Ovis aries: one gene and its partner. The protein of the gene in region 2 interacts with the protein of the main gene of each other region in a pairwise test. Links are inferred from orthologs where the notes say so. Each region holds a gene or a part of one and is shown on either strand. Other genes may lie near its edges.

Region 1 (3,479 bases), on a different chromosome or scaffold from region 2:
AATTTCCCACTCCCCTTCCTATGATTTGAGTCCTGAGGAGGCCACTTGTAATTGTGGACTTTAGGAAAGACACTTAACTCCTGTAAGTCTTCATTCTCATCTATAAAATTAGAATAATATTACTAAGCTCTTTGTGAGGATAGTGAAAATAAACTACAAAACACCTAATGGCAGGTGCTCAATAAACAACAGTCCCCGACGGAGTACTGGATCAATCCTAAGCGGAAACGAGGAGAAAAAGAAAATATAAATTGGAACAGAAAAAAATAAGGTAGAAGAAATAAATACTGAGATTACAATAAATATAAATAGGCAAAACTCACCTATTACATGAGTCTTAAGTGAAGAAGTGAAGTGAAGTCGCTCAGTCGTGTCCAACTCTTTGCGACCCCATGGACTGCAGCCTACCAGGCTTCTCTGTCCATGGGATTTTCCAGGCAAGAATACTGGAGTGGGTTACCATTTCCTTCTCCAGGGGATCTTCCCGACCCAGGGATTGAACCTGGGTCTCCCACATTGGAGGCAGGCGCTTTAACCTCTTGAGCCATGAGACTTAGATTGGGTAAAAAAAGCAGGCTGTTTGCAAAAGACACACCCTAAGAGGTAAGAGTTCTCTCATTTTACCCATTCTCTCAAGCCCAAGGGTTTGCCTGCAGCTCTTATTACCCCACACTGCAACACAGCAGACTCTTACAGCACATCACACTCCATGGCTTACACCACACACTGTTGGCAATGGATTTTCTACAAAATAAAGGCTCAAAATTCTTTTAGGCACCCAAATTTTTATTAACCCACCTTCTTGCTCTCTCTTAATATTATAAACCAAATTAACCTCTTTTTGACCCAGAGCTCTGATGGGAACCATCAATGTGCTTTTACGTTTCTCTGGCCCCTCTTAACCGCTGGCTGTCTTTCCTCTTGTCTTTTCTTGCTGAACAATATATTCTAACCCCTGTAAAATAGGGACTAAAAGTACCAACCTCATTGTTCTGAGGTTTAAGAGAATGCTAAGCACTAAGCCAGGCTCTCTGGAGCATTCAAACTCCCACAGTTCCTCCACACCCTTTGACGTAGCTCCTTCTCATCTGTCATGGGCTGAGGAACCAATGAACCTGTAAACCAAGAACATAAGTCTAAAGTCCACAGGCCAAGTGAAGGCCTGGATGGTAAAGTGCATGGGCTTTCTGACCACCACTGCCAACTTCCAGCCTAAGGAAGGACTGAGTGAGCAGTTGCTGAACCCCTGAGCTCATGGTTCCCTGTGGGTAACCCCCATGCACCTCCATTATGGCCCGGGCTAGAGGGGGGACTTCTCAACTTCCCCTGCCACACTTGGAACAGCTTGGGGGATGCAGCAGAGGCCCAAGACTGAGTGGCGAGCCCCAGGGAGTTGATGGGGGACATTATCAGACCAATCTCAAAGGTGGTGCCATTTGCTCTTGGGGAGGAGAGGTGGGACCCAGGCAAGGACAGCAGCTGGAAGGCAAAGGGCAGGCCCGGTTCTCAGTAGCGGTAGTGATCAGGCTTGAATGGACCTTCACGGGGCATGCCCAGGTACTGGGCCTGCTTCTCAGTCAGCTTGGTCAGCTTCACATTCAGCTTGCCCAGGTGGGCTTCAGCCACTGCTTCATCCAGCTGGGGAGAAACACAGGAAAAGCTGGAATCAGTGCCATGCTCTGGGACCCCTAACCTCCATCTTCTCACTGCCCAAAGAGGCGGGAACGGTTCTATTGTGACATCTGCTGAGTGTCAAGCGTATTATTTCATCCTGTCCTCACAGTGGATGTGTGTGGGTTTGGGCTGCTCAGCTTTTCTTCAAGGGGGAATCAAATTACATCTTCCCCTCCAGGCAGCCCTGGTGGGACCATCAGTTACATCTCCTCCTTCACCCTCCATCAACCTAAGCAGCTAACCAAAATGCTTCCTGCAATTTATCAATGAACAGGACATACTTTCATGACAGGGACTCTCAGGATTCCTAAACAGGGAGGCCATCGGTCTCAGCTCACCAACAGCAAGTTTATTTGACAAGTGAAGTGAATGCAGGGAGAACAGAAGAGCCAAGAAACAGAGAAAGACAGAGCTCTGATGCCCATGAATCCCCGGATCCAGTGTCTGAATCTGACGCTCTGCCATTACAGAACCAATAGCATTCCTTTTTGGATTACACTGGTTGTGGTTGTTTTAATGTACTTCCTGAGCAGTGGTGACCACAGCCGTCTTCCAAATATATCCTTTAAAATGTCTATAAATTAATAAAACACCTTCCTCCTTCAAGAGGTGGAGCCTACGTCCTCACCCCTCAAGTGGCTCATTTCTAATAAACAGAATGAAGCAGAAATGATGATGCGTGACTTGAAAACTGGGAGCTAAAAGGTACTTCAGCTTCCTCCTTTGCTCTCCCCCTGGATTTGGGGGAAGCCAGCTGCCATCTCAAGAGGAAACTTAAGCAGCTCTATGGAGAAGACACTTACGTGGCAAGGAACCTCCCACCCACGAGGATGTGAAGTGACTCTTCCAGCTCCAGTCAAGCCTTCAGATGACTGCAGCCCTGCCTGGGTGACTTCTTGACTCAAGTCCCATCCCACCACCATCCCATAATGGCACAATCGCCTTTAACCACAACCCAGATGCATGGTGGCTTCCCTGGTAGCTCAGCTAGTAAAGAATCCGCCTGCAATGTGGGAGACCCAGGATCGATCCCTGGGTTGGGAAGTTTCCCTGGAGAAGGGAATGGCTACCCTCCAGTATTCTGGCCTGGAGAATTCCGTGGACTATAGGGTCCATGGTGTTGCAAAGAGTCGGACACGACTGAGCAACTTTCACTTCACAGCCCAGAGAGCTTTATGTTCCCAAGTGGTTTCACATTCACTGTTTCATTAGAGGCAAACATCCCTACGAAGGAGGCCAGGGTTTATTTTTCTATTCAACAAATGAAGAAACTGGGGAGAGGCAGGCAAAGGCAGGAGCAGAGTCTAGCCCTAAGGCCATGGCAGTTCTGGAGGCAGAATGAAGGTCTCCAATGACCCGAGGATACAATGAATCCTCCCTTCGCTTGGCCTGGCCTGCACCCCACACTGGAGGGCACCCTACACCCGGAGGGCAGCGTGTCGTAATGGTTAACAGCCCAGACAGACAGGGCTGATCTATTCTTGGTCCAGTACTTTACAGTTGTGGGGGCAAGTCACTCTCTGAACCTTAAGTTCCCTCATCTGTAGGCTGGATCTCTCACAGTTCTTACAAACATCAGTGATATTCAAGAGGGCATGGTGCAGGCACCTTAATAAATGAGGGGGCTGCTCATGCTGTCATTATGGTTAACCAAGATATATAATCCCTTGCCCCACACACTGCACGTGAGTGTGAAGCATGTCCCCAACCCATGCCATGACAGTGATGGAGAAAGGAGAAGAGGATGGGGTCAGGTGCCGGGGTAGGAGGTGAGCTCTTTACCTTTTCACTTCCAACCCTGGTCT
Region 2 (4,621 bases):
TCACGGGCTTTAGAGCTCGGGCTCAGTAGTTGCGGTGCACAGGCTTAGCTGCCCCAACAGCATGTGGGATCCTCCCAGACCAGGGATTGTCCCCTGCACTGGCAGGCAGATTTTCAACCACTGCACCACTAGAGAAGTCCTGTGCATGGTGTTTTCAGCAAAAGCAAGAAAGCCAGGGGAAGGAACGAAGAGAGCAAGGGGGTTAATCGAGAGATGAGGCTTAGAAATAGAGTGTGGGCTGAGGGACAAGGATTTGAACTGTAGGACCCTGTGGGCTTTTCCTCCATTTGAGATTGGAGCCATTAAAGGGTTTTAAGCAGAATTAAATGATCTGTGTTTTAAGTCAGGATTCCTCTGGCTGCTGTGCTGAGAAAAGACATAGGATAGGACTAATGAGGAGGCTACTGCATTAATCCAGGTGACAGATGGTGGCTTTGCACAAGACGTGTAGTGGCAGAGCTAGTGAGAAGTGGTCAGATTCTAACTACATCACTGCTAGTGAAGCTGGCAGGATTAGCAGCTTGACTGGATGTGGGTTGTGAGAGAAAGACAGAAGGTAAGGAGTGCACCAAAGATTCTGGCCAGCCAGTGCAGCTCAGATGCTCAGATGCGGACTCAAGCAGGCTGGGGACAGTTAGGGATATGAGGGAGACCAAGAACTCAACCCTGGACATGTAGAAGTCCTATTAGATATCTTCCCCCAATTAAGTCTATGAGAGCCTCTTCATAGTTCAACACTCTTATATTTTTCTGAGCACTTACTATGTGGTTAAGAAAGTATGGTTTCTAAGACTCCTCATGACCACTGCAGAGGGCACGGGTTCAATTCCTGGTCAGAAACTAAGATCCCACATGCCCCGAGGTGTGGTCAGAAAAAAAGAAAATTGTGTGAGGTGGGAAGGAGGGTCAAGAGGGAGGGGACATATGTATATCTACAGCTGATTCATGTTGATGTATGGCAGAAACCAACACAATATTGTAAAGCAATTCTTCTTCAATTAAAAAAAAAAAAAAGAAAGCATGGTTTGGAGGCAGATGCTGGGTTTCATTCCCAGCTCCATTAGTTACTGTAAATTCTTAGGGAAACTACTTATTCAGTTTTCCTATCTGTAAAACAAGAGGATAATAGCTCTGTCCCTGAGCCGCTGTGAATGAGATGATACACATAAATAATACATTTGGAACCTTGTTTGCACTACAGAGCAAGCTCAGGAAATGTTACCTATTTATATTATGCTGCATTTCCTTAAATGCTCACAACTCTTCTGAAATAACTAGAAAATGAAGTGACTCTGGCAAGGTCATATTGCTAAGCAGGAATGGAGAAGAGCCAGCACTCAAGTCCAGGCTTGTTCTACACAACACTGCCTCCCAGTGCCAAAACAGTGATTCACAGCTTGTGAACCACACAGAAATGCTAGAAATCACACACACAGAAAAGCAAGCTAGTTTGTAAACACTTAAACAAAATAAAACAAAAATGCAGTTTCTACTGTTTCCTGGCTTTCTGAACAGTTACCCAGGCTGTTTTCTTTGGGGTAAGTTGGCAGATAAACTTGTGAGGAAGTAAGGAAACTGATTCTGGTCCTGGCTATTAATAGTTGTGTGACCTAGGGCAGGTTAATCTCTGGGATTGAACCTATCTCCAATGTTCCCTTTAGTTTTAAACTGTATGATTCCACTTTAAAAAATAAAACATTTGCAAACTCACTTTAATTCTCAGCTAGCAAATAGCCTGATTAGCATTACTTGGATCAAATAAAAAAATTTAAATGTGAAGAGAGCGGAATAACACCACATTCAGTAACTTAATACAAAAAAATTGACCACCGGCACTTCTTAAAATGTGACTCCTTATTTAGTTGGGAAGGACTCAATCACTGGCAGGCATCTGAAGTCTTGGATAAAGTCTCATATTTCAAACTGTCTTAAGAAAACAAAGCAAAACATTATGTAGGATTAATGAATGAGTCTTCCTGCCACAGGCAGCTGTAGGTAGCAGCAAATCACTGCTGCAGTAAGGCAACAGAAAAGCAGAATAGCAATGCAAGTGATTTATTTTCCCTAGTCTTGGGAAAAGAAATCGTGCTAGTTTACAAGATCCACGTTTGCTCAACTGTTTATGCTTTTTGCTCTGCACAGATGTGTTCTTCAGAGTAATTCCGAACTCGAACTTGGGTGAGCTCCGAATGAGCGTGAGAGTAATCAGCACCTTTTGGCACACGTTATGGGGGTGGGGGTGGGGGTGGGGTCGGCGGGGCACGGGGCGCCAGCGTTCGGGTGGGCGCTGCCGGCGCAGGACCACGTGGGCCGGGATTTGGGCATGACTCGCCGCAGACTCTCCGAGGCAGGGGGGCCAGTGCTAGCCTCCAGAGCGCACAACCTCGTTGGCTCTGGGTGCCGGGCCACGCCTTAGCGGGCTTCCGGGACTGCGCTAGGCCGAGGTCGCGTCCCGGGCTGGATGCTCTGACCCTAGGCCTCCCCCGCTCCCCACTTACCAGCCGTTGACCTCATTTTGGGAGTTCACATCCACCCCGCTCTCCACCAGTTTCCGCACCTCCCGAATGTCCCCCAAGGCCGCGGCCTCCCGCAGCCTCTCCTGCTGCTCCTTCTGCTCGAGGAGAGCGCTCATCTTTCTTTGGCCCCAGGCCCCCGCTAGGGCACGCCCGCCCAGCCCCGGCCGGTCAGCGCCGCCGCCGCCGCGGACCACTCCCCGCCATGGAGAGGCCGCGCGGGGTACAGCTGCCCCGCTCGCGCTGCAGCCCGTGCCGAGCCAGGGGCCTCCGTTCCCCCTTCTTGGCACGCCCGCTGCTCCCCTGCTGCTCCCGGCCCGCGGGCCTAAACCTCCTCCCGGCCGCGCCTCCCACAGGCCGGCTCTGGGGGAACCTATTCAGAGTGACAACCCTGACCCAGATATTTTCCGTTCCTACCCTCCGCGCGCGCGAGGGCGGGCTGTTTATGTAACTGCTGCACAATATTATCTGCCGTGATTCACCAACTATTTTTAGACCTCCCCACCCGGCAGTTTCTGGAGAGGAGGACAGAAACGAGGGAAGGGAAGAATGCGTATTTGAGAGCCAGGAAGGCCTAATCCTCTGGAGCAGGCTGTTTACCACGCATCAAAAATAATTGATTTAAGAAAACAGACAAAAATAATAGTAATAATTGGTTTTGTTTTTTCCCCAGTTTGTGTGGCTCTTTTTCCTTATCTGAATCAACTCTTGCCTAGCAGGGTGGGGAAATGGGCCGAAAACGATCCCACTATTATATGCCCATTATTGCAGAAATAGAATACACGATTCTTTCTTTTGACACTGCTTGGGACCATTCAGTTCGATTATTTATTTCAATTGCTGTTGTCTTACTCACATTTTAGAGATTTCTTCTAATTCGGCTTTCAGGAAAAATATTTATACTGTGCTCAGAGTCTATAAACTGTGATTCATTACTGCTTTTATTTTATTTTTTTTGGTTACTGCTTTTAAATCATAATTAATTACTCTTCGTGAAGGCCATGTAAGGAAAATAGAAAAGAACACCAAAGAGGCTTTCAAGTTATCCCAGTCTTTAATATCAGGAGCTAGGGAGAGAAGTGGTCCAAGTATAAACAGCATTCTTCCTGACTCTCTGGCTAATCAATCTAATGAGGCTCAGAGCCTGGGCTGGCGCTGCTTTACTACACAGCAGGAGAAAAAGAAGAGTATTGTTTTGCTGAGCCCAGGTTCCTGGGCAAGATCTTCCAATGTGGCACAGGATGGAAGCTTGCAGATGGGGTTGGAAGGATTAAGGAGTAACCCTGGGGTGGGGAGGAGGAAGGCCTGAACACAAGAGATAAAATAGGAAATGACAAATTTAGGCATGGAGTTTTCATTTCCCTCTCTTGGGGCAGCCCAGGGTTTGCGCAGCAAGCACTTTTCTTGCTGTGCCTGCGTGCTCAGTCACTCAGCAACCCCATGAACTGTAGCCGGCCAGACTCCCTGTCCATGGAATTTTCCAGGCAAGAATACTGGAGTGGGTTGCCTTTCCTACTCCAGGGGATGCATTTCCTGCATTGGCAGTCAGGATTCTTTACCACTGAGCCACCGGGGATGCCCTTTCTTCTTGCTACTGTTTTATGAAAAACTCGTATCTGTTTATTGTGTTACAGACATTCACACAGTACACAGTGCACACCAGATGGTTTGAATATAAACTGACTGCATGCTTACACTGACCTTATAGTGAACTGGAACTCTGCTTGAGGTGACACTTTCATTTGTCCCCCAATACAAACTTTTAACTCTCCGCATGGTACTCCACCTGAAACTGATGTGCAGAGTAGTACTGGAATTGGGCCCTTCAGTACAATTCAAGTGACAGGGGAGTAGATAGTGGCCTCTTTTTTTTTTTTTTTTTTAATAGCAGTTCAAAAAGCTTGGTAGCGAGTGCACATCAAAATCTGTGAGTTCTCTTTGTAAGGATTTATTTGTTAAATTACCCATGTGCCCTACAATAACTATCGAATCAACGAACATAAATATTTTCTTAAAAACCTCTGGGTGCCTGCATGCCAAGTCACTTCAGTTGTGTCTGACTCTTTGTGACCCTACCCACTGTAGCCCACCAGGGTCCTCTGTCCATG

The links. The genes of interacting proteins can lie anywhere in the genome.
Region 1: the proteins of ANKRD40 (region 2) and AHCY interact in binary tests that used the Homo sapiens proteins (3 or more experiments, as listed by UniProt). The two-hybrid records come from large-scale screens. The link is inferred for Ovis aries from reciprocal best matches to the Homo sapiens genes ANKRD40 and AHCY.

What each region holds. Positions count from the first base shown.
Region 1 is NC_056066.1:63,682,238-63,685,716, forward strand, and holds the end of AHCY (adenosylhomocysteinase), read right to left. Parts: intron 1,639-3,479; coding exon 1,507-1,638; 3' UTR 766-1,506; downstream 1-765. UniProt on the Homo sapiens protein: Catalyzes the hydrolysis of S-adenosyl-L-homocysteine to form adenosine and homocysteine. Binds copper ions.
Region 2 is NC_056064.1:35,757,976-35,762,596, reverse strand, and holds the start of ANKRD40 (ankyrin repeat domain-containing protein 40), read right to left. Parts: upstream 2,898-4,621; 5' UTR 2,633-2,897; coding exon 2,499-2,632; intron 1-2,498.